Linked DNA regions of Rhinolophus ferrumequinum. The protein of the gene in region 3 interacts with the protein of the main gene of each other region in a biochemical or structural test. Links are inferred from orthologs where the notes say so. Each region holds a gene or a part of one and is shown on either strand. Other genes may lie near its edges.

The links.
Region 1: the proteins of UBE2I (region 3) and PIAS2 form a complex in vitro, tested with the Homo sapiens proteins (3 studies listed by BioGRID). The link is inferred for Rhinolophus ferrumequinum from reciprocal best matches to the Homo sapiens genes UBE2I and PIAS2.
Region 2: the proteins of UBE2I (region 3) and TRIM28 form a complex in vitro, tested with the Homo sapiens proteins (6 studies listed by BioGRID, with this or other methods). The link is inferred for Rhinolophus ferrumequinum from reciprocal best matches to the Homo sapiens genes UBE2I and TRIM28.
Region 4: of the proteins of UBE2I (region 3) and FOS, one has a biochemical effect on the other in vitro, tested with the Homo sapiens proteins (3 studies listed by BioGRID). The link is inferred for Rhinolophus ferrumequinum from reciprocal best matches to the Homo sapiens genes UBE2I and FOS.

What each region holds. Positions count from the first base shown.
Region 1 is NC_046302.1:38,607,895-38,615,685, reverse strand, and holds the start of PIAS2 (E3 SUMO-protein ligase PIAS2), read left to right. Parts: upstream 1-4,786; 5' UTR 4,787-4,941; coding exon 4,942-4,965; intron 4,966-7,791. UniProt on the Homo sapiens protein: Functions as an E3-type small ubiquitin-like modifier (SUMO) ligase, stabilizing the interaction between UBE2I and the substrate, and as a SUMO-tethering factor.
Region 2 is NC_046298.1:50,976,348-50,983,854, forward strand, and holds the start of TRIM28 (transcription intermediary factor 1-beta), read left to right. Parts: upstream 1-4,493; 5' UTR 4,494-4,542; coding exon 4,543-4,885; intron 4,886-5,205; coding exon 5,206-5,321; intron 5,322-5,535; coding exon 5,536-5,668; intron 5,669-6,913; coding exon 6,914-6,982; intron 6,983-7,335; coding exon 7,336-7,471; intron 7,472-7,507. UniProt on the Homo sapiens protein: Nuclear corepressor for KRAB domain-containing zinc finger proteins (KRAB-ZFPs).
Region 3 is NW_022680357.1:3,163,806-3,170,682, forward strand, and holds the start of UBE2I (SUMO-conjugating enzyme UBC9), read left to right. Parts: upstream 1-3,865; 5' UTR 3,866-4,007; intron 4,008-6,877. UniProt on the Homo sapiens protein: Accepts the ubiquitin-like proteins SUMO1, SUMO2, SUMO3, SUMO4 and SUMO1P1/SUMO5 from the UBLE1A-UBLE1B E1 complex and catalyzes their covalent attachment to other proteins with the help of an E3 ligase such as RANBP2, CBX4 and ZNF451.
Region 4 is NC_046289.1:23,387,380-23,394,349, reverse strand, and holds the start of FOS (protein c-Fos), read left to right. Parts: upstream 1-3,957; 5' UTR 3,958-4,125; coding exon 4,126-4,266; intron 4,267-4,994; coding exon 4,995-5,246; intron 5,247-5,679; coding exon 5,680-5,787; intron 5,788-5,911; coding exon 5,912-6,553; 3' UTR 6,554-6,970. UniProt on the Homo sapiens protein: Nuclear phosphoprotein which forms a tight but non-covalently linked complex with the JUN/AP-1 transcription factor. In the heterodimer, FOS and JUN/AP-1 basic regions each seems to interact with symmetrical DNA half sites.

The DNA.
Region 1 (7,791 bases), on a different chromosome or scaffold from region 3:
GCTCCAACCGAGCCATCCGGCAGGCAGGTCACCTCAAGGTGCCATGTTCAATCTTAGTTGCAGGGGGTGGAGCCCACCATCCCTTGTGTGACTCGAAGAGTTGAACTGGCGACTTTGTGGTTGAGAGCCCCTTGGCCCATGTGGGAATCGAACCGGCAGCCTTCAGAGTTAGGAGCATGGAGCTCCAACCACCTGAGCCAACGGTCCGGCCTCAATTGAGGTTTTAAACCTCTCAATTTTAGAATTCCTGTTAGATTTTTTCAAACTTTTAATTTAAATTTTAAAAGTGTAAGCATGCTTTTATTGCAGTCTTTTTCTGATTTCTGACTCTGCTAGTCATTTTATTTGGAAAATTATCTGTAGGATAATCTGAGGTTTGAGGTAAAGATGCCTTCATCTGGAGAGGATTTTTGTTTGTTTCTGCCCAGTGACTGTGGCGGAATGCCAGTCTAGGACCTATTTATTTAGTATTCAAGGCTTGAAGTTTCTTGATTACTGTAAAACCTGATTGGAAGTGCTGACTTACTTCTGGTTTATCTTTACCTTATGGGGTCTTGTATTAAATATGGGGAGTGTTTATGTTAGACTTTCCATCTTCTGTGGCACTAGATTTAGATTTATTTCTCTCTTGCTCAGGAATCCTTCAAAAGTCATAGCTCAGTTTATAGATTTTACCTTTAGATTGTCAAATGCCTTCCGGAGAGATATTTGGTTTAACTACCTAGAATACTGCCTTCTAAGATTTGGGCTGGATAATTCTTTATATTAGGTATTTGCTTTTGTTTTTCTAAATTCAGATATTTTGATTGTTCTCAATTGGTGAGTTGAATCAAATTATCTAGCTGTTTAATATTTATGCCAGCATTCCTGGGGTAAGATTTGTTTATAAGTTAGATAGGAAAACTAATTTTTGCCTAGTTTTGGCATTGAAGTTATAATAGCATTTTATAATAAGTAGAGAATGTTCCTTCATTTTTCAATTTTCTCTGTAGTATTAGAAGTCAGATCATTGGTTGTTTCTGGTGGGAAGTTTGACTGGGAAGGAGTAGGAGGGAACTTTCTGGGGTAATGGAAATGTTCTGTATCTTGATGAGCATTTTTCAAAACTAATTGAAGAGTTTACTTAAGATATGAGGATTTCACTATATGAGAAATTCACTGTATGATGAGAAATTATACCTTAATAAAAATTGTTCAAATATTAACAATTGTTGAATCTAGCTAGAGTGTATACAGATGTTCATTGTATTATGCTTTTAATTTTTCTTTACAGATTAAAAACAATTCAGAACAAAAAGTTGGGGATGTAAAATTAAAAGATAAATTAATTGTTCAGTTTCCTTGATATTAGTTTCAGTAAAGGTGAAGCCAAACACTATTTGCAAAATGTAAACGAGTGAATATATGTGATTAAAATAGATGTATGTTTGGCAAAAGAAGAAAGGTGACCTGAAATTATCTAGGAGGCTTGAACATGGTTATAGGAAGAGGAAATGAGTGGAAAGGAAAAGAAAGATGTTGAGATCAGGGATAATTGATGTGTTCAGAGATAGAAAGGGAAAGAATTAAAAAGACCGGTTCTTGGGACTAAACTCAATTTTCCATGAATGGTCCAAGTAGGTTGAATACTCCTTTCTGAAGATACTAGGACATACCATATGGGTATCTGAGTGCTTCTTAATACTTTTTTTGGTGTGTTTATCACCTATTTAGATACAAAAAAATTATTATATATCAATTTTATATTGATATATATTTTTATTATATATCAAGTTTATAAAATGCACTCATATACCTTATCTCATTTAATCGTCCAACATCCTTAGATCAGTGATAATCATTCCTGTTTTATAGATTAGAAAAGATAGGTTGAGACTTTGCTAAAGTTACACACCTAATAAATGGAAAAGCCAATCCTGAGACTTTTGACTGTATGAGTATGTAGTATAATCTTAGGACACTTTCATTGTAATACTTATTTTTAATTGGAGCCAGATTAAGATGATAGCCCAACCAGGTAATTGCCTAGAATCTCAATCCATAAAACAGATTTTATCCTTGAAAATGTAAATAAAATAGTATTTAATGGAATTCCTCTGGGGAAACAATTCTGTATGTGGCTGGAGTGGTACTTTGGTATGTGGTCTACAGTGGTGGTGAGCCTACTGTTATAACACATTATAAGGAAGTTAGATCCAAGTAAGTGCAGATTTGTTTTTGATAAGTAGGATATATTACAAATTTGAGCCAGAGCTGAATTGCTCATGACAGTAAAGAGAGAGGCATTCTTTCTATACTTTACCACTCAGCTTTCCCTTGAAAAGAATATTGAATGAATATAAGGAGTATAGTTTAGAAAAGATGCCAAATTAGTAATCTGGCCTGGGGAGACAAAGTAGCATCCTGTTTCAGAATTCTTTTGGTTGCAACTAACAGAAAACTCATTTCAAACTATCCAAGACAGTAAAAAGGAATTGGCTCAAGAACACTGGCAAGTACAGAGGTGAGGTGGGTGTCAAAGCTAATTTTGATTTTTTTTTAGTGATTCTTGCCAATGACATGGGTTGGTCCTCAAGCTGGCCCCTCGTAGCAAAATAGCTACAGCTTTCCACATTCTAGAGAGTCTCCTCAGCTCTAATCACTGAATATCTAAGATATTTATTGCCCTACCTGATTGGCCTACCTTGGGGGCAGGGGCCCACACTTGACCTAATTGGCAAACCTGGAAATGCCCTGTAGTTGGATTTACAGGAACAGTTCTGATCTAATCACGGTATCCAGGAGGACATCAGTTGTTATTGGCATAAACCAGTCTGGACCAGCTCCTAATACTCTATGCAGTCAAACCTACCCAACCCTACAATGAACACTACAAACAAGTTTCAGTGCAGCCTTGCTTCTCTTAGTTTTGTATTCATGATGGTCCCTCTTATGGGTTGTAAGATCCTTGGCGGAAAGGCTTATTGTATTCTATTCTTCTTTCTGTTCCCCAAACTCCAGTCCACAGTAACCTTCATTTAATGTCTGTTGAATAATGTTAAACTCTACTGAGGTATAAACCAAGGCCTAAGGAGACTAAGCTAAGATCAAGAATAAGACAAACTAAGACCACAAAGTTAATGGTGTAGAACAGGGGTGTCAAAATGCAGTCCGTGGGCCAACTGCGGCCCGTGGGTCAACTGCGGTCCGCAATCCATTGTTAATTGGCCCACAGCAAATTCCAAAAATATATTTAGTTTACTTAAATAAACCAGGTGAGGCAATAAGTACTTCACCTCGAGTGACTGGCCCGGCTGTTTGTGTATTTTACCACATATGGTCCTTGGTGAAAAACGTTGAAAAAAGTTTGGACACCCCGGTGTAGAACCTACTCTAGATACTGTTCTTCATTTCTTCATTAAACAAATGAATAATTTGTCAGGCGTTTATCAGTCATTAGTCTAGTGGGTTAAACAAATTTTAAGGTAAAAAACTTAAAACACTATTTATGTAATAATCACACAAATAATTACATATTTACCAGGGAGAAATATTACGAGGAAAAGTTCAGGTCCTATGAGTCGTCGTAGAGAGGGATTTGAATTGAAATGGGGCATGTGGGTTTAGGGAAGTTCTTCCTGAAGAAGTGATACTTAAACTGAGACCTGAAGGGTGAACAGGAGTCCAAGAGGGGAAGAGGGAAAGAGTGGGAAGTTATTCTGGGCCCGAGGATCAACATTCAGAGGTCTGAAAAGGTGGTGGTTGATAAATCACTGTCTCATCAGTCGTGGTAGTGGGTCTGATGGAGGAACTGACGGAAGTGCATTGTTGGTGAAGCGAGGGGGAGTGGGAGGAGGCAGTAGGTAGGAACCAGATTAGACGGGGCCGTGGAAATTCTATTAAGTGTTTGAAAGTCTTTTCGTGGATGAGTTCCATTCACCTCTTCAAGGAAATCTGAACCCTGTACTTGGTCCAGCAAATTTTCTGATCAGTTTTCCTCAGCATCTTCTCTCATCCTTTATCAGCAAGTCAGAAGTGCCATCAAGCTTCCTTCCATCTTCTCTTGCCCTTGCCATTTCATTCTTCCCTAGCTATCAGATTTCCCTGACTCCTCGACTTTTTATCATGGCCCTTCTGATAACTCTCTTATTTCACTTCTCTTCCAGTGCCGCCCCTGCCCCCAACCCTTTCAACTCTGCTGGCCATGACATTCAGTTGCCCTTCAAAGTCAGAATCAGCCCCGTTAGTACTTTGAGGATATTAGCAATCCAAAGAGGCCGCAGCAATCCTGCATCATTAGATCGGAACAATGGCTCATCCAGCACCCATTCTTAGATCGTTCCCACACAACTACGCTGGAGGACGGTTTCATTGGCAGCTGCTTCCTCTGTCCACAGCCACCGTGTGAAAGGGCACCGTAAGAATTCTCCCGAAATGTTCCTGTCACGAGTCCCGACCTCTTCTCAGCCACTCCCCGGGGCCAGGTCTCCTCCAAGCCCGCGGGTAACGCGGCAGTTGCGACGGCGCTTCAGGGGGTCGGCCTCCGGCCGCCGCTCGGAGGAGGGAAGTCACCGCTCGGGGCTGAGAGAGGACCGCGACAGGGCTAGGCACGAGAAGGCATGCGGGAGGCGGGCAGGGCACGATAGAGGGCGGGAGCTAACGAGAGGATCACGCAGAAAGCGGGGAGCGCGGCCGGAAGAAGCCGGCGGAAAGTGGCGGGTCGGGTGGGTGGGGGCGCCTGGTGGGCGGGGCCGCGCGGCCGGGGGCGGAGCTCCTGTGCCTATCACGTGACGGGCCCGGCGGCGGCGACGGCGGCGGCGGCCGCGGCGTCTTCAGCGGCGCCCAGTGCAGGATGGTGCTGGAGGCGGCGGCGGTGGCCGTGGTGGCGGCGGCGGCGTCGTTGGCGGCAACGGGAGGGGGTGCTGTGGCGGCAGCGGCGGCGGCGCCCGCGGTTGGTATAAAATGGCGGATTTCGAAGAGTTGAGGGTAAGCGGGGGCGCGGGAGTGCAGAGCGGAGGCCGCGGGGGAGGGGAGGGAAGGCGGGGAAACCGCAGCGTCGCCGGCCGCCACCTTCTTGCTACGCGGGGACGGGTTTGTGGAGCCCGGAGTCCCGGCCCGCGTCGGAGTGAGTGGGCGCCGGGGCAGGCGGCGGGAGGGGGAGGGGAACGAGGCGGCGGAGGACGCCGGGGCCGCGTCGGGGTTGGCGGGCCCGGGGCCCAGGGCTAGCGGCCCTTTGGTCCGGCCTGGGCTCCGCACACCTGGCGCGGGGGTCCGGGGCCGCCCTCGGCAGGGGCTCGTGGGGACGCGACTTCCCCGTTATTTTAAGGGCAGATGTGGAAGCAGGATTTGCTTTTCCACCTTCGCGAGGGGTGTCCGAGTCTCTGGCTATTCAGAAGTCCACATGCTCCTCACTCGGTGGGAGACTGTTTTCTGAAACGTGAAGTTGGGTTTAGGAATTCTCTTTTCTCTACGACTGATGCTACCGTTTAGTCAGATGGGTCACGAGAAAGGCCCCTCCCACCAGTGCTTCCTCAACGTGTTGGAGAGAAGCGTTGTCTTTTGGGAACCCTGCCTTCAGTTATCGGCCTTCAACCTTGATATTTTCTGAGGGCTATGGTAAGAAATCCGCAAAGTCCGTGTTGTCATGAGGTGAGTTTGTGAACTCGTCTTGCTGTTGAGGAAAAACATTTTTCCTCCTAGCCTTAGAACAAGGTCACAACTTTATTGTTGATGCCTTTGTACAATAGAGGTTTGAAAAGGGGTGTGCTGGAAGTAGAACATAAAGGATATTCCCCCCCCAACCCACCCCCCGGGTTGATAACCTTCAGAGTCCTCAGCGAAACAAAACTGTGATAAAGGGACCAGATTTATTTTTTATGGCTCACTTGAATTACTGGTGACATAACTGGAATATTTAAGGACGGAAACCCTGATTTTTAAAACAAAGTCAAAATAGAGATGAATATAAACTTGAAATTCACTGTAAACGTTTTGCTTAACATGAACGAATGGTGTTAGGATTACTTTTTTGGAATAAGAAGGAAAGGAGTCCGGTAAAAGATTCAGTTTTGTATGTTTATTATTGTTTTTTGGCAGGGGATGGGGTCGGGGAAGGATGTTGGCCGGTGACCTCGCTGGTACAGTGGACATCAGCAAAAGAATGCATGAATTATTCTGATCTAAAGGGAGATTGTTACAGTTTGTATAATGCCTGTCATTTTTTCCTCCTGCTGTTTCAAGAATTCTTTAATTCCCAGTAAAGATAAAAGTATATTAATGAATTAATGCCCTCTACTAGTTTATACAGAGAACCACGATAGTAGGAAACAGGTGTTCGTAAGGCTAACGTACGTATAAGGATTTTAGTGTCTCCGAAGCCCAGCTGCAGAGCTTTCACACCTGTGGAGCTTTTGAAGCAACCAGGCCTTAGCCTCACCTGTGTAAATTCATGTGTTAGGTTTGGGATGGGTTGAGAAGACTGAAGTTTAAAGTTAAATTTATTTTTACCTGCAGTATTGTCTTAATTTTTGTGTAATAACAGATGTACGAGGATACAACTTTTCTAAGATTTTTTGTTGATGAACTTTTCCAAGTCTTGCATTACACTTTTTACATATTGGTCAAAGCTTAATAAAAAGTAGACAGTTTATTTACTGGTATAGAGCAGAAAGAACAGTCAGTGCTTTGGTTGGAGTGGAACCAGAAACGGCCAAGTGGTTGGAAATCAAAGAAGCTTTTCTCTCTGTGTCTCCGCCTTCCACCTCTTTCCCTTTTCTGATTTGTTTTGTGGGTCAGCTTCATCATCGCTTTCTGTAAATCAGTTGTGATTACTTCTCCCTGCACTTGATAGAAGATGGCCCCCTCCCTCACAGTTCACATTAGGTAACTAACAATAGATTAATGGGGAGAGTTTTCAGAGGAGGGGAGCGTGCGGGCTGTGGAGATGCTGGAAGAATTATCCACTCCAGTCGTTGCCTTAGCTGCTCCGTGGCGTCTTCTACATTTAAAGATGAACTGTACTCCCGCCGCCTTCGGCCCCCTGCCAGTGCGAAGGGTGATGATGATAAGATAATGCAGATATCCAGTAGAATATAGTGCTTATTACAATACATGCCTGGCTCTGGTCTAAGCGCTACACAGACATACTTAATTTTCACAGCAATTCTATGAAGAAATTGAGGCACAGAGAGATGAAATAATCTGGCCTAGATCACGCAGTTCGAGTCTGGAAGACGTGGGATTTTTAAACCTCAGGTGTCTAGCTTTAGAGTTGGTGCTCTTCAGAGTCTGAACTACACTGCACTGTTCATTTTCCTTTGGGTCCAGGCGGCACTCCCAGCTATCCTCCTGTAACCCATGGACTAAATTGCATGATAAATAACCAGCACCCTTCTTATGTGACTGCTGAGGTAAGAACGTCCAAACCTATAGAAAATTTTATAAGAGTTTATTAGAATCAAACTGAAGACATGCCCAGAAGCAAGAGCTCAAAAATGCTTCAGCGAATGGCAGTTTTGCAGTTCTTTTTATACATTTGGAATGAAAGGAGGGAATGTATTTTTACTATTTTTACAATGAAATCTATTGGTGGTAGTAGGTTAAGGAGGTGGAGAGAGCAAGGAGGGGAAATCCCTATGACTAGATAAATATAAAATAGAGAGATATATTTCTTTTACATTGGTGGGTACAGGGTAGTTTATATTTAACAATCACAGTAGGAAATAGTGATAGTATATAGGCAACAAGTCTATGAGCTTCCTTGAGGATGATTACCAGAGGGGTTTGGAAAGGAGGATTACTCTGGCATTTCAA
Region 2 (7,507 bases), on a different chromosome or scaffold from region 3:
TAGGAAGGTGTTGATCTCGAAGACTAACATGGTCCAAGGGACCCCTGGAGCCACCAGAAACTAGAAGAGGCTGTCGACAAAAAAAAAATCCAGCCTAAGAGAAAGTATGTAAGTTTATCTGAGACAAACTGATGAGAATTGCTGGGAAGTAAAGTCTCAATAGATTGAGAAAATGCTCCGGAAAATGGCCAACTTATTTTATACGTTAGAATCAAGGGAGGAGGGTTACATGAAATCCATTGGTTATAGATTAAGGGGGTGGGAGAAAGCAAAGCAGGGAAATCTCTGGGATTGGCTAAAAAGTAAAATGGAGAGACACACACTTTTTTTTTACATTGGTGGGTACAGGATAGTTAATAGCATTTTACAGCACATAGAGATAATATTTGGGGAACAAGATAACAATGAGGGATTTTGTAGTTTACTGCTCTGGTGTGGTGGGTTGTGCCCCCTGGGGGGTCTGGAAAGGAATTACTCTGACATTCCAAAGCTATATTATCTTGGATGCAAAAAGACAACAGATAGGCTCACTTAAGGTAAAGATTGACCTTTGTTAAGGAAGCTACAGGCCAAGCATATGACTTCCCTGCCATGGCCCACCTTAGTTAGGAATTTTTATGTTCACACTGTCCTATGTGGTCATTTTCAGTCTCCTGAGCTTGTCAGGTTTAACATGTGGTCCCTTTTCTGTCCACAAGGCAAAGAAGGATTCTTTCTCCCCTAGAATCTTCGGAGGGATTGTGACCTGGCCCTCCCTGTATCTGAACCTCAGAATTCTGGCCTCTAGGACTGTGAATTAAATTTTTGTTTTAAGCCATCAAGTTTGTGGTAATGTGTTACAGTAGCCACAGGAAACTAATGGAGGAACAATCATGATTTTAAAGGGTGATTTAGAGGGTCTAGTGCCTTCTCTGCCTTACCTGCATGAGTGTTTTTATCTCTTGTTTTCTGTCTCCAACCCATCTACTCCCCACCTGGAACCCTTAAAATGGGAATCAGATCATGTCATTCCTAACAATTAAAGAACAGCCCAATCAGAAACCATATGTGGGACAGCGGTTGTGTGCATTACAGCACAAGCAGGAGGGAGGCCCAAATGCGATCAAGAGGAGGATGCACAAACTAACTAGGGTATTTGTGTGATGAGGCCCACATACAGTCACACGGATGTACACTCAGGGAAGGAAACCAGACAGACGTGCAAACTCGGCGTGTTTCAATAAGCAGACCAGTGAAGCTTCTCTGTGTTGAGAGAAGTCAGGATGGCAGCGGCTATGAGGGTCATGGAGGGCTCCTGGGAGCCAGAGACGTTCCATTTTTTTTTTTGCTCTCAGAGCTGATTCTGTAGGGTGCTTGCTGTATGTAAGATGTGTGTGCTTTCCTCTACTTATTAAAGCCTCCATCAAAAAGTTAAAAAGTTCATAGAAACAGAAAGATGATCAGTGGTTGCCAGGGGCTGGTGGGAGAGGGAAAGGAGAGTGCTGATGGATACAGGGTTTCCTTTTGGGGTGTTGAGGTGGTGATTGCACAACATAGTGAATGTATAAATTGCCACTCACTGACTGCATGCTGTAAAATAGCTAACATGATGAATCTGATGTCATGTGAATTTTCACCACATTTTAAAAACAGCTTTAAAAGTAGTAGAATCCAAAACTCATCTTGTAGCCTACAAAATTGGCAGACTCCAGACAGTCATCATCTCCATGCGTCTGTTTGCCCTTTTATACATGTACTGAGTGCCTATGGTGGACTGGGCCCTGGGCTAGGCATGGCAGATACTGCAGTGAGCACAAACAACTTGGAGCGCCTGTCTTTGTGATTCTCTGTAGTTGAAATGTGTAGGAAGAGAGGAACCAGCCACGACCCCAAAGCTCTTATCAAAATCTGATTTTTATGTGTGTGGTAAAATATACACAACATGAACTGTCCAGTTTTACTATTGTAAAACATACAATTCAGTGGCATTAAGTATATTCATGTTGTCCTACAACTACAACTGTCTAGTTCCCAGATGAAATCTGTGCAGATGGAGTAAGAGATTGGAGTGATGCAGTCACTAGACCTCCCAGAGAAATAGCTTTGGGGGTGACACCTGAAGGTTGGAAGGAGAGCCAGGTGCAGGTGTGGAGTGTGGGGAAGGGAGAAGGTGGCTGCCCGCAGGCCTTGGCTGCCCTTGGTGCCGTATGAGTGATTCCTATAGTTTCCACCCTTGAGACCTGTCTGCAAAGCCAGGATGTAGACAATTTCTAATGAACAAGGACTGGAAAGGGTGAGATACTGTAAAGGGTGGACGGGGAGCACAGGGGATGAGAGCAGAAATGACACTGACTGCTCTGTCTGACCTAATGGCCGGGGGTGGGGGTGGGGGGCAGAGCCAAGATGTACCTGTCTTCTGGATCTCTGGATAGGCTGCATCTTCAGAGAGGACCTTTTTGCAAGGGTTCTGCCCTGGCCTTGCTTGCTTGTATGCCCACTCTAGCTCAGCTAGTCCTGGGATGCCCCTTTTGCCCGAGTCCGCCTGAACCTGGTTTCCAGTTGATCCCCCTGTCCCAATGCCATCTTGGCACTTCCAGAAGCCTTGGTTTCCCTATTTGGACAAGGGGGCTGGCAGTGGCCCAGCAGTGGGTGGTAAGGCCACTCTCCAAGGCCTGCTGCTGGCACCCTGCCTGTGTGGCCATGTACTGGGAAGGTCCAGGGCCCAGGAGGAAGGGGAGACTGTTTAGAGAGAACAGGATAGGCCTTGGCAGGCCGTTGAAACCACAGGACCAGTTACCAGAGTCTAGTGAAGGGCAGCTGTCTGGCAACTTCTAGGTATGATGCACCCTGCTCACTTCCCAGCTCCGTATGTGCCCAGTCAGCTTCAGGGCCTTTGCACTTGCTTCTGCCTTAACTGTCTTTCCTGCAGGTGTTTGGGGACAGCACCTACGGAAGCCCACTCCCACACTCTTTACCATCAACTACTTATTTTGACTCTCTGGTCCCTGACCCACGTGCCCCCCTCCCTCCTTCGTCTGCCCCAGGGGCCAGGGTAGGTATGGGTTACACCCCCTTTGGGGCCCAGCGCAGGACGGGGTCGCCCAAAGTATCCAGCAAATACTACTAAAGGACGTCACATCTCACCCTATGGGCGGCCAGCTACCAACTTTCCTTCCCAATTACCAGAGAAAGGAAAAAAGAAAACAAGGGCCCGCGGCCAGGGCCTCGGAGGGGGTGGGTGGGTGGGTAGGGGGGGGGTTGGGTGGGTAGGGGGCGTGGCCCCACCCGACGCAGCTGAGGGGGCAGCGTCAGGCTTGGAACAAAGGCAGGCGCCGAAACAAAGCCCCAAGGCCCCCAGTACCCTTCGGGAACAAAGGCTACGCCTATCTCTCCTGGACCAGGCACGCCTCCGCCGCCAAGGGTGGCGCCTGAGGAGCTAGGTGAGGGAGGCTGCAACTGCTCCCCCTGCAGCCTCGGCGTGTGCGAGCCAGGGAGACTCCGAGCAGTGTCTTGCGGCTCTGCATCCTCTCAAGAGCTGACCCCGGCAGACAGGATTCACTTCTCCAACCCTGCTTCCCTCCCTAGAAGTCCACCTCCGTTGAAGTTCGGTTCGGCCACCTGGAAAAGCATCCAAGTCAACACAGATGCTGGCTGGAGACGGGAAGGGGCGCTTGGTGGGCCAGGCGTGATCTCAAGACTCGCCGCTCTGTAGCCCCTTGGGACCTATTCGATTCGGGCAGGTTTCAGTGTTTCTCACGTTAAACAATGAAAAGGTTAAAACCGAAAAGTCAGCCTGCCAGATCAGAACGCAACTTCTTTCTGGGATGGGAACACTCTGCCCCTTTCTCGGGCCCGCCGTCTCCTCCAGGTCTTGGCCCCGCCCCCTCTCCCGAACGCCTATTGCAATGACTGGAGACGTCTCCCGGCCGCCAAAGGGGCGGGGATTGAGGTGGAGGCCTGGGCTGACAATCCGCGTGCGCAGCACAGCGGCCAGACTGTGGGGCCAGAGGGGAGGTGGAGCACTCTCTAAAAACCGTGAGCGCGTTCTACGTTGCGGCTATAACGTCAATGATGCTCCGCCCTGCCTCACAGGCGGCGCCGGGGTGGTGCCGGCGAAGGTAGGAGGATCCAACTCAGGCGCGTGCGTACTCGCTGCCTCTTCTATAGCGATCGGCCCGGGCCCCGCCCCCAAGCTCAAGGCGCCCAGCGCGCCTGCGCAACGGCGTCGGCGCCAGTTATTTCTGTCCCGCCCCCGAGCCGCGGCTCTTTCTGCGAGTGGGCGCACGGGCGAGCGGTTGTTCGCGTTGCGTGTCTTGGGTCTCCGAGGCCACCGAGAGGGAAGCGCGGGCGTCGGCGTCGGCGGGAGGCGAGCAGGCAGCGGCTGGCCGTGCCTCGGCAGCGCCCTGCGCGCAGCGGGCGGAGGCCCAGGCGGCGCGTGGCGGCGCTCGGCCTCGCGGCGGCGGCGGCATCGGCAGCTACCCAGCCGTTGGCGGCGAGTGCATCTGCGCCTGCGCGGCGGGCCCCGCGCCCCTCCTCCCCCTGGGCGCCCGCGGCGGCGTGTGAATGGCGGCCTCGGCAGCAGCGGCCTCGGCCTCGGCGGCGGCGGCGGCAGCCGCTTCGGGCAGTCCGGGCCCGGGTGAAGGCTCGGCGGGCGGCGAAAAACGTTCCCCTGCCGCGGCCGCGGCCTCGGCGTCGGCTTCCGCCTCGGCATCGTCGCCTGCGGGGGGCGGCGGCGAGGCGCTGGAGCTGCTGGAACACTGCGGCGTCTGCCGGGAGCGTCTGCGGCCTGAGAGGGAGCCGCGCTTGCTGCCCTGCCTGCACTCGGCCTGCAGCGCCTGCCTTGGGACCCCGGCGCCTTCCGTCGCCAACAGCTCGGGGGACAGCGGCGCGGCGGGGGACGGAGCCGGTGGGTACAGTCTGACCCCGCCCTCCACCCGGCAGCTTTCGATCCCGACCTGGCGCGCAGATGGGGAGTTTGTGCTTAGTGTGTGGCGGGTGAATCGGCTAGGCGAGAGGATAGGGTCCCGGAGAGTGCTCTGCCGGGCGCTGAGATGGGGCGTGTGCTTCAAGTTCGATGAAAGAAGGGTTTGTTTGGCTTCTGTTCTGGGAGGGCAGGTCCGGCCCAGCATGGGATGCCTGAGATGGAAACTGGGGTCCAGTGGGACGATGGGGTTATATATAGTCTGGATGTGATCATGGAATGGTTTCAATTCCTTTTATTCTCAGCAGTCGTGGATTGTCCTGTGTGCAAGCAGCAGTGCTTCTCCAAAGATATTGTGGAGAATTATTTTATGCGTGACAGTGGCAGCAAGGCTGCCGCTGACTCCCAGGATGCGAATCAGGTATGTTCCGTTCTAGCAACATTTAGGAGGCTTTGGGCCTTGGGGAGGGGTCATCAGCTCAGGGGCATGGTTATATTTCCAGTTTATTCTTCCTACACTGTGAGCATTTGGGCAAATTGTTCAGGCTAGGTAAAGGCACCACTTAACGTTTCTTGGATTGCAAATGCCAGCATTTCTGGTGGTTGTGTTTCCTGACTCTACCTTTGCCTGGCAGTGCTGCACTAGCTGTGAGGATAATGCCCCCGCCACCAGCTACTGTGTGGAGTGCTCTGAGCCACTGTGTGAGACATGTGTGGAGGCACACCAGCGGGTGAAGTACACCAAGGACCACACCGTGCGCTCCACTGGTACACAAGGCGGATGGAGGGGGGCCTGGGTTCCCCTTCTACATAAGTCTTCAGCTGCTTAAGTGGGTTGCAGATGGTGGATTTGTCCCAGGACCTTCACTAGGGGGCACTACCTGAAAGGCCTGGTGGCAGAACTCAAAATCAGAAGATTGGGGCTCTGGTATGCGGTCTTATGGTCCAGGTGGGGGAGGGGGAGAAAGGCCCCCGGTGCTGCGGAGGGCGGGGGGTGTGCACAGGAGACTGAAGAAGCTCACAGGGACCTACCTCATTGTGCCTCAGAGTGTACAGAGGGTTCAAGGAAGCTCATCAGGGGAGGCTCCCCGCTATCCCCCCTGTGCAGACAGGGAAATGCCTGTCTGTGGTGGAGGAACTGCCCTGTGCAGACAGGGAAATGCAGGGTATTTGGAGAGAGATGTGAGGGGCCTTCTTGACTTGGGGTTCCTTGGCACCTGCCTTAAGGCTCTGTAGGAGAAAGGCCCTCCAGCCACAGCGTCTTGACAAGCTGTGAGGGCTGGCCTTCGGGCCATTACTGCCAGTCGTTTTATCTTTGGGGTGTGGGTGTCTTAAAGCGCAGCTGGGTATTTCCAGACTTTCTGTGAATGCTGGCAGTGGTATGGCAACTGACTTGTTAGCTTTCTGAGTCTAGCCTGGTTTTTCATGTACAAGTTCTGAGTGGCCTTTTGGTAGTTACACTGGCAGCTTCAGCACAGAGGACAGTACTGGTGGGAAGATGAGGATGGCAGTGGTGGCTGTGCAGCATGAGGAGCGAGGAGGGACAGGCAGAGGATCCTGGATTTTAGGCAAAGGTCAGGGTGTAGGATGAAGTAACATTGAAGGAGCTGATGCCTGGTTTGTATCTCAGTATCGCATAACTCAGGCTGGGTTGGTATTGCCGGGATGTTTTTGGGATTGAGGAAGAAAGCGGAACAGACTCCCAAACAGCTTTCTAATGGTGACAGACACTGGGTGGGGAGGGGGTTGTAAATGTGGTATACTGGTCTTTGGGTGGTATAACAGTACCGGGACCTGTCGCCCCCAGGGGGCCTGACACCTTTTTGAGAGTCCTGGTCTGACACCTCATTTCTGCCAGCCTGAGGAGGCTCTGCAATGCCGCCTGAGGGCCTATGGCTTGTAAGGTACACGGCCTTCTCTGAGCAAAGAAGAGGGGAGGTCAGCAGGCATGGCTCCTGAGGAAGCTGCCTGAGTGGTGCCTCTAGGCCCTGATTCGCTTTCTGTCTGTGCCAGAAAGCAAATGTTCTTCGTGCCCGGGATGCCTCAGTAGCCAGAAAGCCCCCCTGCTGGACAGAGCCTGCTGTGAGTGGAAGAGAAAGGGAACCCAGTGGGGGGTTCGGAGGCGGAGGAACTCTTTTGAGTGTCCACCTGGAGAAGGTTCCAGTAGAGGGACCAGCAGCGGGGAGGTATCCTGTCAAAGGCCATCATCCTCACACTGCCAGAAGCTGGAGGGGGTGGTCTCTTGGTCAGGCTTGGGACAGGAAGCTTTGAGAGGAAGGGTCTGGGCTCTGGGGCCTGTGCTCTTCCTGGGCCCTGGTTGCAGGGCCCCTGGGTTTTCCCAGTAGGTAGCCCAGGGCTGCAGGACAGGCAGGAAGTTAGGCCCCGAGTTGGACATGCTGAGGTTGGGCTCCCTCCTTAAGATACCCATTTCCCAGGGCCAGCCAAGTCCCGAGATGGCGAGCGCACAGTGTACTGCAACGTTCACAAGCACGAGCCCCTCGTGTTGTTCTGTGAGAGCTGTGACACCCTCACCTGCCGGGACTGCCAGCTCAACGCCCACAAGGACCACCAGTGAGTCCTGCGATAGGGCCGGGGTGGGGGCTCTTC
Region 3 (6,877 bases):
TTGCAGTCCGCATGCACCCCCCCCAGAGTGGAATGTGGGGCTCCTCATCCTTCAAAGACAGTTCCCAAGCTCAGGGAGACAGGTCCAGGCCCTCATGGGCTCCCTCAGGCCCCCAGCCGTCTCTCCTTCCAGACTTTTCCACAGCAGCTGCACCATTTTACATAACCAATGCACAAGGCTTCCGATTTCTCCACATTCTTGCCAACGCTCGTTGTTTTCCATTTTTTGATAGTAACTATCCATTGGGCGTGAAGTGGTATCTCCTGCTGGTTTTGATTTGCATTTCCCTACTGACTAGTGGTCTTGAGCATCTTTTCATGTGCTTTTTGGCCATTTGTGTATCTTCTTGGAGAAATGTCTATTTAGACCCTTTCCCCATATTTGAATTGGTGTTTTTGTTGTTGTTGTTGAGTTGAAGGGGTTCTTTATATATTGTAGATATTAACCTCCCTTATCAGATATGTAATTTGCAAATATTTTCTCCCTTTCTGTTCATTGCCTCTTTGCTACTATGAGTCCTTTGAGGAACAAAAGTTTTTAATTTTGATGAAATCCAACTTATCCGTTTCTTTAGCTGCCTGTGCTTTTGGTGTCATAGCCAAGAAATTATTGCCAAATCCAGTGTCATGAAGATTTTCCCGTTTTCTTTTCTAAGAGTTTTATAGTTTTGGCCCTCACGTTAGGCCTTTGAGTTAGTTTTGTATGTGGTGTGAGGTAGGAGTCCAACTTCGTTCTTCTAGATCTTTCTTTTTAAGCCAGCCCCTGAACAATGGACCCTGCACACAAACCTTCGTGCCCACAGCTCGGCCCCCTGGCGAGAACCCAGGGGACAGGGTACTGCCCCTACTCTAGGCAGCTCCCAATCACACTTACCACTCCCTCCCCACCAGGTGGCCACATGACCTGGTACAATCAGCTTGAATCCTTCCCCCGTTTTATATTCACTGATTCTGCACAAAGCCTTCTGCAAACCTGTTTCTCCTTTGTACTCAGGGAGCTGGACCCAATCAAATCCCCCCTCCCACTGGAAGTGCTTCACTTTGGACACACAGCAAACTTACCAGCACATTGGAAATCTCATTCGAGGTCTGGTCCCCACTGCCTGTTCCAACTGCACCCCGTACCACCATCCCCCGGCTTACCCTGCCCTAGCCTCTCGGCCTTTCCTCACCCCACCTCCAGCTCCTGACCCCAAGGCTCTTCCCCCAGCCCTCCCAACAACTGGATGTTGCTCTCCCTTCCTGTTTCAAGGTCACCTCCTCAGAGACCTCCCTGACCACCCTACCTAAACCAGGTACTTTAATTATTAGTGTGTAACAAATTACCACAAACTTAGCAGCTTTAAATAAAGCACATTTATTATCACAGGTTCTGTGCATCAGAAGCCCAGGCTTAGTGGGGTCCTTTGCTCCAGGTCTCCAAAGTCTGGGGTGGCATTCTCCAGTCCTCATCTGAGGCTGAGGGACTTCCTGCAAACTCACTGGTTGTGGCATTCTTCGGCTCTTTGTTATTGAAGTCTCAAGGTCCCTGCTTTCTTGCTGGCTGGCTTGCTGTTGGCAGAGGGCCATTCTCAGCTCCTGGATGCTGCCCCAGGGCCCTGCCATGTGGCCCCGTCTACAACATAGTTTCTTCAAGGCCAGTCAATGCTGGATAAATGCTTGTGAACTGACTGATGAATGGATGGCTCAGGGGCCATCACTGAGAACGTGTGTGCCAGATGCAGGCTCCTGGGCTGACGATACCAGATCTGAGGTAGCTTCCCTGCCCTCTTCCAACCCACCCTCCTGCTACACGCTTCCTTCTCCATCTACCAGTCCCAACATTCTCCTTCCTGCATGAGGGACTTTGGGCCTCACACCCCTTTTCACCAGGATGGAAGTTCTCTCTGCTGGACGACTCACCATCTCCAGTTCCACACACAAACATGGAACCCAGGACCCTGAGTCTCCTGCTCCACAACCTTTCATGGCTCCCCATGGCCCACAGAATGTGGAGGCCCAGGCCCTCCACGACACGCCACATCCAGGCCACCAGCTGCGCCCTCCCTCTGCCCCCTGGCTATGCTGAGCCCTCTTGGGCTCCTGGTTCTTCTCTTGACTCCAGCAATGGCCACCACCTTTTACTGGCCATTTGCGGCGTGCCTTCCCCAAGCAGCCCTGTGCAAACAAACCTCCTGGCACCCGAATGAGAAAGATGGCATTGGTACCTAAGGCCCATGCACCTCAGCAGGAAGCTGGTTTCTTCCAGTGTAGCTCAGCTGAGGTGTGTGGCAGGCCTCGCCGGGGCACTCATTATATAAGGCACACTTTGAGGACTACTCAGAGCTGGCCAACCAGGGCTGGGGAACCAGAGAAAGGGTGTCACAGACAAGCCCCTTGATGCTTCTGGCACCCCGAGGTTGAGAACTATAGCTGCCTGGGTGAAGCAGGCAGCGTCCCCAGGCCAGGCAGATACTGAATCATTGTGGGGACCCAGGAGAGAGCAGCCTCTTTGGAGTTCAGAGTCTGGGAGGGATTTGGAACGCTCACATTCTGCTCAATGGCGCCGGAGGGGCCCTCCGGCCTTTGTCACCTGGGACCCCAGTCCCTATAGCCACGCCTTCTCTCTGGGCCACGGCTGACCAGGAGGTATCGTAGGCAGACCCCCAATCCAGCCAAGCAGAGCCACCACACCCAGGAGACCCTCAGCTTCATTTTACTGCCCCAGAGTAACAGGATGGCTAGGAGCACATGGAATTCGTCCACTCAGAGCACTGGGCCAGATGTGGGACATAGTACACCGGACCTATGGTCCAGCCCCTGGGGAAGCCAACAGTCTCTGAGCACAGGGCCAAAAGAGGCACTTGGGGGTGTGGGGGGAGGGCCAGAGAAGGGAGATGGAGGGAGGGAAGGAAGCAAAAAAGGGAGGGAAAGGAGTAAATGCAAATCGCTGGGGTTGTCCAGCACCCCCCGCTGCGCGGCTAGGGTCAGGCGCCCTCCACACCCATCGCGGCCTGATCCCTAAGCGCCCACGGGCGGAGCGGGCTGACCTTGGGAAGCGCCCTCTCCCCACCCAGAGCTGGGGTTTGGGCAATGAAGCTGGCCCTGGGAATTGGCCCGACGGGGAGATACTCAGCGAGGCCAGGAAGGACCAGCGTTCACACAAGGGCTGGGGGTGGACCCCCAGACCCTGACTGCAGGAGCCGGGCAGGGGTCCCAGCCCGCACCTCGGCCTCCCGCTCGCAGCCCCTGCGCCCCTCCCCCTCGGCCAGCCCCTGGGTTAGGGAGCGTCCGCACTTTTCCTCCCGTCGGTCGGGCAAGCTCTCGGTCGTTTGTATGGGGTCAGCTCATTGGGACAATTCGATGGACGCCCCGCCCAGCGCCCCGAACCGGCCAATTGTAAGGGGTTTCACAGACGCAGTACTCGGAGGATCGTCACCGTGCTGCGACGCTTCTGGGGATCCGTAGGCCTCAGTGGTCTTTGTCCCCCGGCCCTGGGTCTTAGCCCCAAGGAGACCAACGGGACCCGTGCCCAGAAAGGTGCCCACGAGGCATCTGGGGCGCCCTTGGAGATCTCGGCCTCCTCTTTCTCCTGCTGCTCACCGGCGTGTCCTCGAGTTGACGCGCGCGTCGCGAAGGGGAGTTTGTAGACGCTCCCTGACATCGGGGACGCGGCTCCTTTAAGGGCCCAGGTGTCCAGAGCGCCGCCTGACTGGAAAATCGCCCCCGGGCCGGACTCCCTGGGCAAGCCCGGGGCGTGGGCGCGCAGCAGCGGGTCGCGGGCGGCGGGCGGCGAACGGCGGTATGGGCTGCGCTGGGCGCGGGGCGGCGGCGGCGGCGTGCAGAGCAGGCATGCGGCGGGCAGCCTCCGCAAGCCCCGCCCGCGCCCCGCCCGCGCCGGGGTCCTCGGAGCGCTCGGGCTGCGCGCGGAGCGGGCTCGGGAGGGAAGTCCCGAGACAAAGGAAGCGCCGCGCCGCCACCGTCGCCGCCGCCTCGTCCGCCTCGCTTGCCGGGCTGCGGCCGCCCGAGGTGAGCACGGGCGGGGGGCGCGCAGGAAGCGGCAGCAGGATGGGGGCCGGGCCTCGGCTGCGCGGGGCTTCTGCCGCCGTCGGGCCGGGCGGGCGGGCGCCCCTCCACCCCGCGAACCCTTGGGCCCCGACCTCCGCCCCCTGCGCGCCCCGGGACCCGCCCAGGCCCCTAAGCCCGGGAACCGTCCGCCTCCGAGCAGTTGACGCCGCGGGTTACGGCCCAACTCTGCTGCCCCGGCCTCGGCGTCGCCCCGGCCTTGCTCCCTCGGGCTCCCGTCGCCTTCCCTTGTGAAAGTGGGGGGTGTCCCCTCCGGCGCGGACTCGCGGTGCGTCCGGGGAGCCGAGGCGGGGTTGACAGGCGCTTCCCTCCTGCGAGGGACGTGCGTTTCCGGGGTCACGGCTGTGCTCACAAACCTGTGGCGCTTTCCAGCCGGGGAGAGAAGGCCCAGCAGAGAGAGTTGAAAGTCTTGGATTGCAAAATCGCTGGCTTGTTTGGGGGATTTGCGTTTGATGTCTACAAACCAAAACAAGCCTGAGTTTTCCTGCGCCTCTCGAGAGCTCCTCTTGTCGTTGGTGGGACCCTGCCCGGCGGCGCTTCGCCGGAGGCAGAATTGTTTTTCAGGTTGCTTTGTATCAATTGAACAGAGGTTGGAATTGGTGGTTTCGTGAGTAGGAGGGAAGGGAAGGGAATGATTGATTAGCTGGGCTCAGGATCACGGCCTGCAGTCGCTCCTGAATCACAGTGTGAACTGGTCTGGTTTGTATGCTTGGAAAGTGTGCTTGGCTCCGCGGTTTGCAAAGTTACTGTACTGTGTTTGCAAAGTTGGCTTTTTGTTGCCTTTTAAAGAGGGTAGCCACAAATGTTTCTTGCCATTCAGGAAACGTTGCCTTTAGGTAAAGGACCTACCCGACAGAAAAGGGAGATGGATCCTAATTTGTCCTAATTTGTTTGCGGCCTTTTGGGTGGCTTAGGGGTGAATTCTGCGTCCTGCTGCACCTTTGTCTGGTTAGAGTCCGTGTTTGGGACCTTGCTTCAGAAACAGCCTGGGGTCCTGGGAGGTTTGTCAAACGAGAACAGGAAGTACAGCCTGGGCAGAGGGTGTCCTGAGTGCAGGTTGCTTGGGTGAGGCAAGAGAAGGCTGTTCCCCTGGGGGAATTTGTGGGCGTGTGGAAAAGGCCCATCCAGGGTTTTTCATGCACTATCTGTTTCGTCTTGGGCAAACCTGTGGGGTCTGAGTACCACCCCCCCCCCATTTTACAGGTGAGGAAGTTGAGGTTGGGGGAGACGAGCAGCTTGCCACACTCCCACAGCCAGTAAGAAGCTCTGAAGTCCGTGCTGTCAACCAGCAGAGCTGATCGGAGAAGAACAGGTTCAAGGACAGCCCGTTACAGGGCCCTGGAGGAAGGTGGAGGGCAGACCTCCCTCCCGCTTGGTGAACTCGGCCTTTTGTCCTGCGGGCGTCTCTAGTAGTTCACGGATATGTTCTATTTGCATCTGCAACTTTGCTGCTCTGAAGCATCTCGTAACACATAACGCTCCTTAAGTGCCTGTCTGTTCGCTGGGGAAGGCAGGTTCCGTGTTAAGTGGGATTCTGAGTGAGCGCTTCCTAGTGTTGTAATTAAAATGTAATATATTGGCTGCTTTCTCCTGGACCCTGGGCGGCCCGCAGGAGCGGAAGCACCATCTTGGAGACCAGGCTTCTGCCTGGGACAGTGCTGGTGGGCACCTGTGGCTTTGTGCCCTGATGGCAGAAAGTCTTACTGTGACCTGGCCTGGTCCCTCGGCTCCCCTGGGAGGGGGGCTGCAGGAGCTCCTGTGGGACTACCCCTCGTTGACCTTTCACACCTGGGACCGCCACAGCTAGGCACTAGGTGGGACAGGGCCTCCGTGGGCAGCTTTGCCCGGTCTTCAGAGCAGAAGAGGCGCGGTCCTGGCACATGGGTGGCAGGCAGGCAGTTCACCCTACTGAGTCGTGGCCTGGGCTCGGCGCAGTCCCCCCCCCCCAGAGCACTGGGGGAATTGTGTGGACGCAGGTGTCCATGGCTGCTCCGTGTTCCAGAGCTGGCCTGGGGCTTCAGAAACCTGTTTTGATGCCTAGCCTAGCTCAGACTTGCTAGGGACCTTTGCCTCACTTAAACAGCCGCTTACCAGGCTGCTTGTCGTCGGTCACAGAACTGTGTTCATGAATTCAGCAGAAGCGTCCTGCCAGTCTGCGCTGTCTGCTTTGCCCTGGTCAGGGGAGGGGGGCCTGCCCTCTGAGGGCTCTGTCAGTGGGGAAGCCAGTGGGCAGCAGGCCTTTGGGGGCTAATGTGTGCTGTGCCCTCTGGCCCGGGGGTGGCCAGGGCATAGCTGCTGGCGATGTAAAGGTTGTTGGGTCGTTCATGTAGAAGAACCAGTTGAAGTGAAGGATTTGAGAAACTGAGAAATGAAGAGTTTTCAGACATCAGGGTTCCCGCCCCAGCCTCCCAGCCTGTCGTCACTGTCATTGCCCCCGTCTGAGCAGAGAGAGCCTTAAAGACAGAAGCCGGTGGGGCGCTCCTCTGCCCCGCCCCCTGCAGGCTCCCACCTCTGCCTGCGAGCCCACCCTGCCTTCCTCTGGCCCACATTGCCTCCTGCCTGAGGGCTGCGGGCTGTGCCCGGGGGGGCTGCCTGGCCACGATTTAAAAGCAAGTGCCTTCCCATTCCTGTCGCCCTGCTTTGCATTTCCTGGCACCGAGCACTTCCCAGCACGTGGCTTCCTCTCTTGGGATTCCCCCCTCCACACACACACACACACACACCCACGGCAGCGTCCCTGCAGGTTTGCTTACACCCCTCCCCGGGTTCAGGTCCATGGACAGGGAGGAAATGAACAGACCCAAACCCTGGGG
Region 4 (6,970 bases), on a different chromosome or scaffold from region 3:
GAACCACTGGGGTGTTCTTTATACACAGAGGCTGCACCAGCTGAAAATAGCTCTAACATCTTGTTATTTTCTCTTTCCCAAATTTTGCCTATTCATACCCAAGAATAAAAGACTCAGCCTGTTCAGCCTTTCCAAAGATTTAACGAACATTATCGATTTGACTTCTAAGTACCCAAAAAGGACAATAATATATATTTCCTTTGCTTGGATAGGGCATTCATCCCTTCAATAGATATTTATTGAATACCTACTATGCACCAGGCACTGTGCTAGGTGCTAATTGAATAACAGTATATGAAAAAGACAAAGGCCAAAAGTATGTATATGCTAAACAAGTCTAAGAAGCGACTTCCCCTAGTCCCTGAAAGAGTTGATTTTGCTACACGCATTTTCCTGACTTCTGGTCCCGTGCTCCGACCACAATCCTTCACCACTAGACCACACTTCCCCAAATAAATAACTACTTCTGCATGCTGGGGACGTGTTGTGCGTGGCAGCATTTACGTAGGTGGCTCAGACAGCAGCCTTTCACTTAATGTTGCAATAGCACCAGGCTAAACACTGACTTCTAGAGTTATTGAACAAATGCTTGATGTGGGTCAGGTCTCTTTACTCAAATGCCAGAGAAGTGCAAAATTGGAAAAGTTTCTATCTGATAAGGAACAACTGCTGAGGAGAAATAAATTTGTTTTCAATTTGGGTTAAAATCAGATGTGGGATTCTACCCTCCTTTTCACTTCTGGATCCCCAAATAGGAGGAACTTAGCACGTAGATAATCACAAACAACGTAAGTTTGGGTTTGAGATGCTCAGGCTTGTCCAGAACGTGGAACCTCTGCCCCGCTGGAAGGCAAAGCGGTACTCAGAGGCACGCACACATCTGTCTCAAAGTCACCCTGACCTTCGCAAATGGCAAAGATCATTTCAATGATGATTCTGATTTCTCTTTATTTTAAGGCTATGTCATGTGAACTCCATATTAAAAATGTGATTTTGCAGTCCTGAAATGGATACTATGAACAGATTGAGATGTGAGAGTGTGTTAGAATGATCACAGGTTCAGATGTTAGTGGGGCAGGAAAGTGAGTCTGAGATTGTATCATCTGATAGAACTGCTTTGAGTTGAGCACTTGCTTCTCCAGATGATGCTCTGACATTTCAATCTTTATCATGTTGTTTCCCAGAGGACAGTGGTTCCAAGCCCCATAATTGTATTGCAGTCACTTCCTCTGATACCTGTCTTCATACCCTCTTCATGGCACTCTGTTCTTACCTCTGTCAAACCACTTAACTGCTGCCCTGCAATTCTCTATTGCTTTGTCAGTCTTCTCCATGAGACTGGAATCTCTATGAGGGTAGGAACAAGTCCACCTTGTTTATTTTAGTAAGCATCAGCCCCCAGCACAATGCCCTACCACACGAGGCTCTCAAGTGTTCTGTTCAATAAATAAAAGAATAAATGAATTCATGGATGGAGTCATGGTCCTTTTCAGAGGATGGATTAAGTCTCCAACTCTGGTCATAATGGTGCCAGGAAGGAAAGAGTTAAGCTATCTGGAGGAGACAGGTTCATCCAAAGCCCATTTGCCCTTTTTATTGGCATAGGCAGGATAAGTTAGGTATGAGATAAATCCTGCATATAAAATCTTGATACAACCTTTAGATGTTGGCCAAAGCTGATTCAAGACTCTGAAGGGGAAGTAAATGAAATTATTCTAGGTTTTCTCTTAAGAGGCTGGAGACACAGTTATGAATGGAATGCAAGACTAGACCCAGGAATTCACAGCCTGACCTACTTTGTCCGAAGCTAATAATGAGAGAGATGGATTTGCCTTCATAGACTTTTTTTTAAATTAAATAATCAAAGATAATGAAGTAGCCTGACCGATGATAGAATTAGGAAAATTGCTTTAGGATTCAGAGTAGCTCTGAGTAGTCTGTATTTATGTATTATGTGTTTTTCCTTCCTCTCCCCTTTTTTAAGAGACGGGGGGGGAAAAAAAGCGCCTAAATTCTCACCGACATAAACCAGTGACATACAATGATGAAATTTTGTTTTCATCTCTGCCTGTGACAGGGAATGCAAAAATAGCAAGTGGCCCAGTTCCACGAATCCCCGCCTCCCTGCCCTCCCTGCTCCCGCGGGGTTCGCATCTCTAAGAATGGAGGTTAGCGCACAGTCGCGCGCGAGCCGCATTCAGCCCGCGGACCCCGTGGATGATGTCAGGCGACAGGAGTGGCCGCAGCCGGGCCGGGCCAGGGAGGCCGAGGCCCTGGGGGAGCGAGGAGGGAGGGCGGCCTCGCCAGGCGGACGGCGCGCCCGGCCGCGCGGCGTCGCCTGGAGACGGCCCTGGCGGCGCTGTGTTGCTGTAAACAGCCGCTTCCCTGTTACTATCTATAGCTGGATCGCCTGGCTCCCGGGTGCGGCGGCGGGAGGCAGGTCGCGGTCGCGCTCCCAGTGCGTCCCGAAGGATCCGCCCAGTGTCCTAATCATTCCTCGACCCTCTCCAGGTGTTCACCGTGACCCCCAGACCCGAAGAGTCGGGGAGAAGGGACACAAGGGCTCTGCGGGGACCTGCGGCTTCGTGCCCCGCAGGTGGCCGGCGTGCTGGGACCGAGCCGGGGTAGTGTGACCCCGGCTGTCCTTTGCAGCGGGCAGGAGTTTGGGGGGTTTCTGGGGGCGCAGCGCCCTCCCGAGCACCTTGTCGCTCCAGAGCCTCGTTTTTCAGGCCACAGAGCTGCGCCTGAGGTCCCAGCAGCAGAGGTCTCCAGCCTGGGCGCTACTGGGCACCGTCCTTCCAGCGCCCCCGGCCCTCCCCCTTCAAGTCCCGGCTGGAAAATCACCCGTTGCGGGCTCCCAGCAAGCCCAGCTTCCTGGGGGACCGGATCGCCCCCACTTCCCCAGCTTGGGCTTGCACTCCCCCAAGAGCTCGCTCCAGTTGAAACCAGGAACTGACGACCTTATCCACATAACATCCCCGACCCCAACCCCACGCCCCGGGCCCCAGCTCAGAATCAGGCAATTGAACCCTTCAGACATCCTTGCTTGGAGGATCTGCACAATGTTTATTGGCTAGTGCTTCAGGGGTTTGACAGTAACACTGATGTCTCCATATATGACCGAGAAAGAAAATGCGCCCTTTTCCTTAAAAACAAAAAATAAAATTAAATGAAAATACCTAGCATAATAGATAAAAATCGGTTATCCTCTTATTTCGGATACCCCGACTTTCAGCTTCCAAACGCACGCAGTAACAGTCCTAGTATTGCTGGAGCCCGTGGGCTTGAGGCGAGGGGATGAAGGTCTGCTTCCACAGTTTGCACAGAACTTGCTAGAATTGGGAATAGAGGAGGAGTCCCCATTCCTTCGCGGGCCGAGGCTTAAGCCCTCGGGGCTGTTTACCTGTTTCTCCAATACCTGAGCCTCAGAACTGTTCCTTGGTTTCTGCATACTGGTAAAAAGGCGCCGCCCCCCTCCCCTCACCGCGGGAACAAGGGTCCGCATTGAAGCAGGTGCTAACGTCCGCTCGCATTCTGAGCCTTTCCCGCCTCCCCTCCCCCGGTCGCGGCCCCCGCCTCCCCCCACGCTGCACCCTCGGAGTTGGCTGCAGCCGGAGCGCAGTTCCCGTCAATCCCTTCCCCCTTTTCACAGGATGTCCATATTAGGACATCTGCGTCAGCAGGTTTCCACGGCCGGTCCCTGCGGTCGTGCGGGGAGCCATCCCCGCAGTCCCTCACCCTAGGGGGTCCACGAAACCCCTAAGACTCAATGCTAAACGTTCATAAGATAAAAAAACACAACAAGACGGGAACTGGGGGCTGCGAGGGCGGCGGAGGCAGCAAGGAGGCCGCAGATGTGTCGAGACTTGCGCGCCACCCCTCCAGCGCAGCAATGGTTTGCGCCGTGACGTCATTGGGCTCATTCACAAAAAGCTGTTATAAAAGCGGTGGCTGCGGCTCCTCGTACTCCAACCGCATCTGCAGCGAGCAGCCGAGGAGTGCAGATAGAGCCGGCGGCGGCGGCGCAGCGAGCGAGCAGTGACCGCGCTCCTACCCAGTTCTGCCCCACGGCTCCTACCTGCTTGCCTCCCTCAGCCCCTCGCCCGGCTGTGACTAACCGCGACCATGATGTTCTCCAGCTTCAACGCCGACTACGACGCGGCCTCTTCCCGCTGCAGCAGCGCCTCCCCAGCTGGGGACAGTCTCTCCTACTACCACTCACCCGCCGACTCCTTCTCCAGCATGGGCTCTCCTGTCAATGCGCAGGTAAGGCTGGCTTCACCGAGCCCAGGGCTCGGGGTCACTGGGGTGGAGGCATCGGGCGGGAAGCTCAGGAAGACGAGTCGGGTACCCCTTTTGGCGGGGAGGGAGCAGCCCTAACTCGCGAGTCCCGGACTTGTGGGGCGCTCACACACGCTTGTCAGTAACAATTGGTTCTCCTTTCCCGCGGCAGGCTCATTCTGAGCTGCCCCCGGCCCGCGCTCTCTGTCTGGTCTCTGACACTAGCTGGGGCAAACGTGTCCCAAGCAAAGACATGCTAACTGGAACCTGGCTTCTCTCGGGAGGCGGCAAAAGCGGCAATCCCCCCTCCCGTTGCAGTCTGGTGCAGGGGCGGGGGAGGAGGGCGAAGCAGGCGGGTGTGTAAGGCAGTTTCATTGATAAAAAGCGAGTTCATTCAGGAGACTCCGGAGCGGCGCCTGCGTCAGCGCAGACGTCAGGGATATTTATAACAAACCCCCTTTCAAGCGAGTGATGCTGAAGGGATAACGGGAACGCAGCAGCGGGATGGAGGAGAAAGGCTCTGCGCTGCCTAATCTTGGAGGAAAAGGGCAGATCTTTTATCCAGGACGAGGGACATTTAAAAAGACAGGAGCAGCCCCTGGCAGGACCGTGTCTACTCCCTCTCTCCTTCCTGCATGCGGCCCTGGGAACTCGGCCACCTGTGTCCCGAGGCTGCTCACTCACATCAGCTTCCCCCTTCTGTTTCGTTCTAGGACTTCTGCACGGATCTGGCCGCCTCCAGTGCCAACTTCATCCCAACTGTGACTGCCATCTCGACTAGCCCGGACCTGCAGTGGCTGGTGCAGCCCACCCTGGTTTCCTCCGTGGCCCCATCCCAGACCAGAGCCCCCCACCCCTATGGAGTTCCCACCCCCTCAGCTGGGGCTTACTCCAGGGCTGGAGTTGTGAAGACCGTGACTGGAGGCAGAGCTCAGAGCATTGGCAGGAGGGGCAAGGTGGAACAGGTGAGGAGTTCATCCGCACCTTCTCTCTACAGGGAGCCGGGTCAGCATTGGTGGAGATGGGGAGCACAGTGGATAGGTTGAAGGCACTGATGGAACTGACTCCACATTCCCAACCGGGAACTCTGGCTCCAAGCCATTTCTATGCCGAGTCAGATTCTGATAGTCCCACCCCAAGGAATATCCTAATAGTTTCTTCCCTAAGAGGTTCTAGCTCATGCTTTTACACCAGGCTCTTCTTCATTCTCTTGCTGAGAATCTTATTTGAAATGCAAGTCACACCCAGGCTGCAACTAACTGCAGGTTACATAGAAATAAATGGCCTCGCAGAAGAGGTGCCAGGAAGCTAGGAAGCTGCAGGAGTCAGTTCGCTGGGGTGGATGAATGGAGCTGATGGCAGACACTGTTATTGAATGTTGGACTTTTTTTCTTCTAGTTGTCCCCAGAAGAAGAAGAGAAAAGGCGAATCCGTAGGGAAAGGAATAAGATGGCTGCAGCCAAATGCCGGAACCGGAGAAGGGAGCTGACTGACACACTGCAAGCGGTAGGTAGATTTCTTGGGTCACTTCTTTTTAAAACTTAAGGGGAAAGTTGGAGATTGGGCATAAGGGAGCAATGTCCTTGAGCAATACTGTGTCTTATGCTTTGCTTTATCCCTCTGTATACAGGAGACAGACCAACTAGAAGATGAGAAATCTGCTTTGCAGACTGAGATTGCCAACCTGCTGAAGGAAAAGGAAAAACTCGAGTTCATCCTGGCAGCTCACCGACCTGCCTGCAAGATCCCTGATGACCTGGGCTTCCCAGAAGAGATGTCTGTGGCTTCCCTTGATCTGAGTGGGGGCCTGCCGGAGGCTGCCACCCCCGAGTCTGAGGAGGCCTTCGCCCTGCCCCTCCTCAATGACCCTGAGCCCAAGTCCTCAGTGGAGCCTGTCAAGAACATCAGCAGCATGGAGCTGAAAGCCGAGCCCTTTGATGACTTCCTGTTCCCAGCCTCGTCCAGGCCCAACGGCTCTGAGACCGCCCGCTCCGTGCCAGACATGGACCTGTCTGGTTCCTTCTATGCAGCAGACTGGGAGCCCCTGCATGGTGGCTCCCTGGGGATGGGGCCCATGGTCACAGAGCTGGAGCCCCTGTGCACCCCCGTGGTCACCTGTACTCCCAGCTGCACTACTTACACATCTTCCTTTGTCTTCACCTACCCTGAGGCTGACTCCTTCCCCAGTTGTGCGGCTGCCCACCGCAAGGGCAGCAGCAGCAACGAGCCCTCCTCTGACTCACTCAGCTCACCCACGCTGCTGGCCCTGTGAGCAGGCAGAGAGGGGAGGCAGCAGGCACGTACTAGTGCCACTGCCGGAGTTGGTGCATTACAGAGAGGAGAAACACGTCTTCCCTCGAGGATTCCTGTAGACCTAGGGAGGACCTTATCTGTGCGTGAAACACACCAGGCTGTGGGCCTCAAGGACTTGAAAGCATCCACGTGTGGACTCAAGTCTTTACCTCTTCCGGAGATGTAGCAAAACGCATGGAGTGTGTATTGTTCCCAGTGATACATCTGAGAGCTGGTAGTTAGTAGCATGTTGAGCCAGGCCTGGGTCTGTGTCTCTTTTCTCTTTCTCTTTAGTCTTCTCATAGCATTAACTAATCTATTGGGTTCATTATTGGAATTAACCCGGTGCTGGATATTCTCAAATTGTATCTAGTGCAGCTGATTTTAACAATAACTA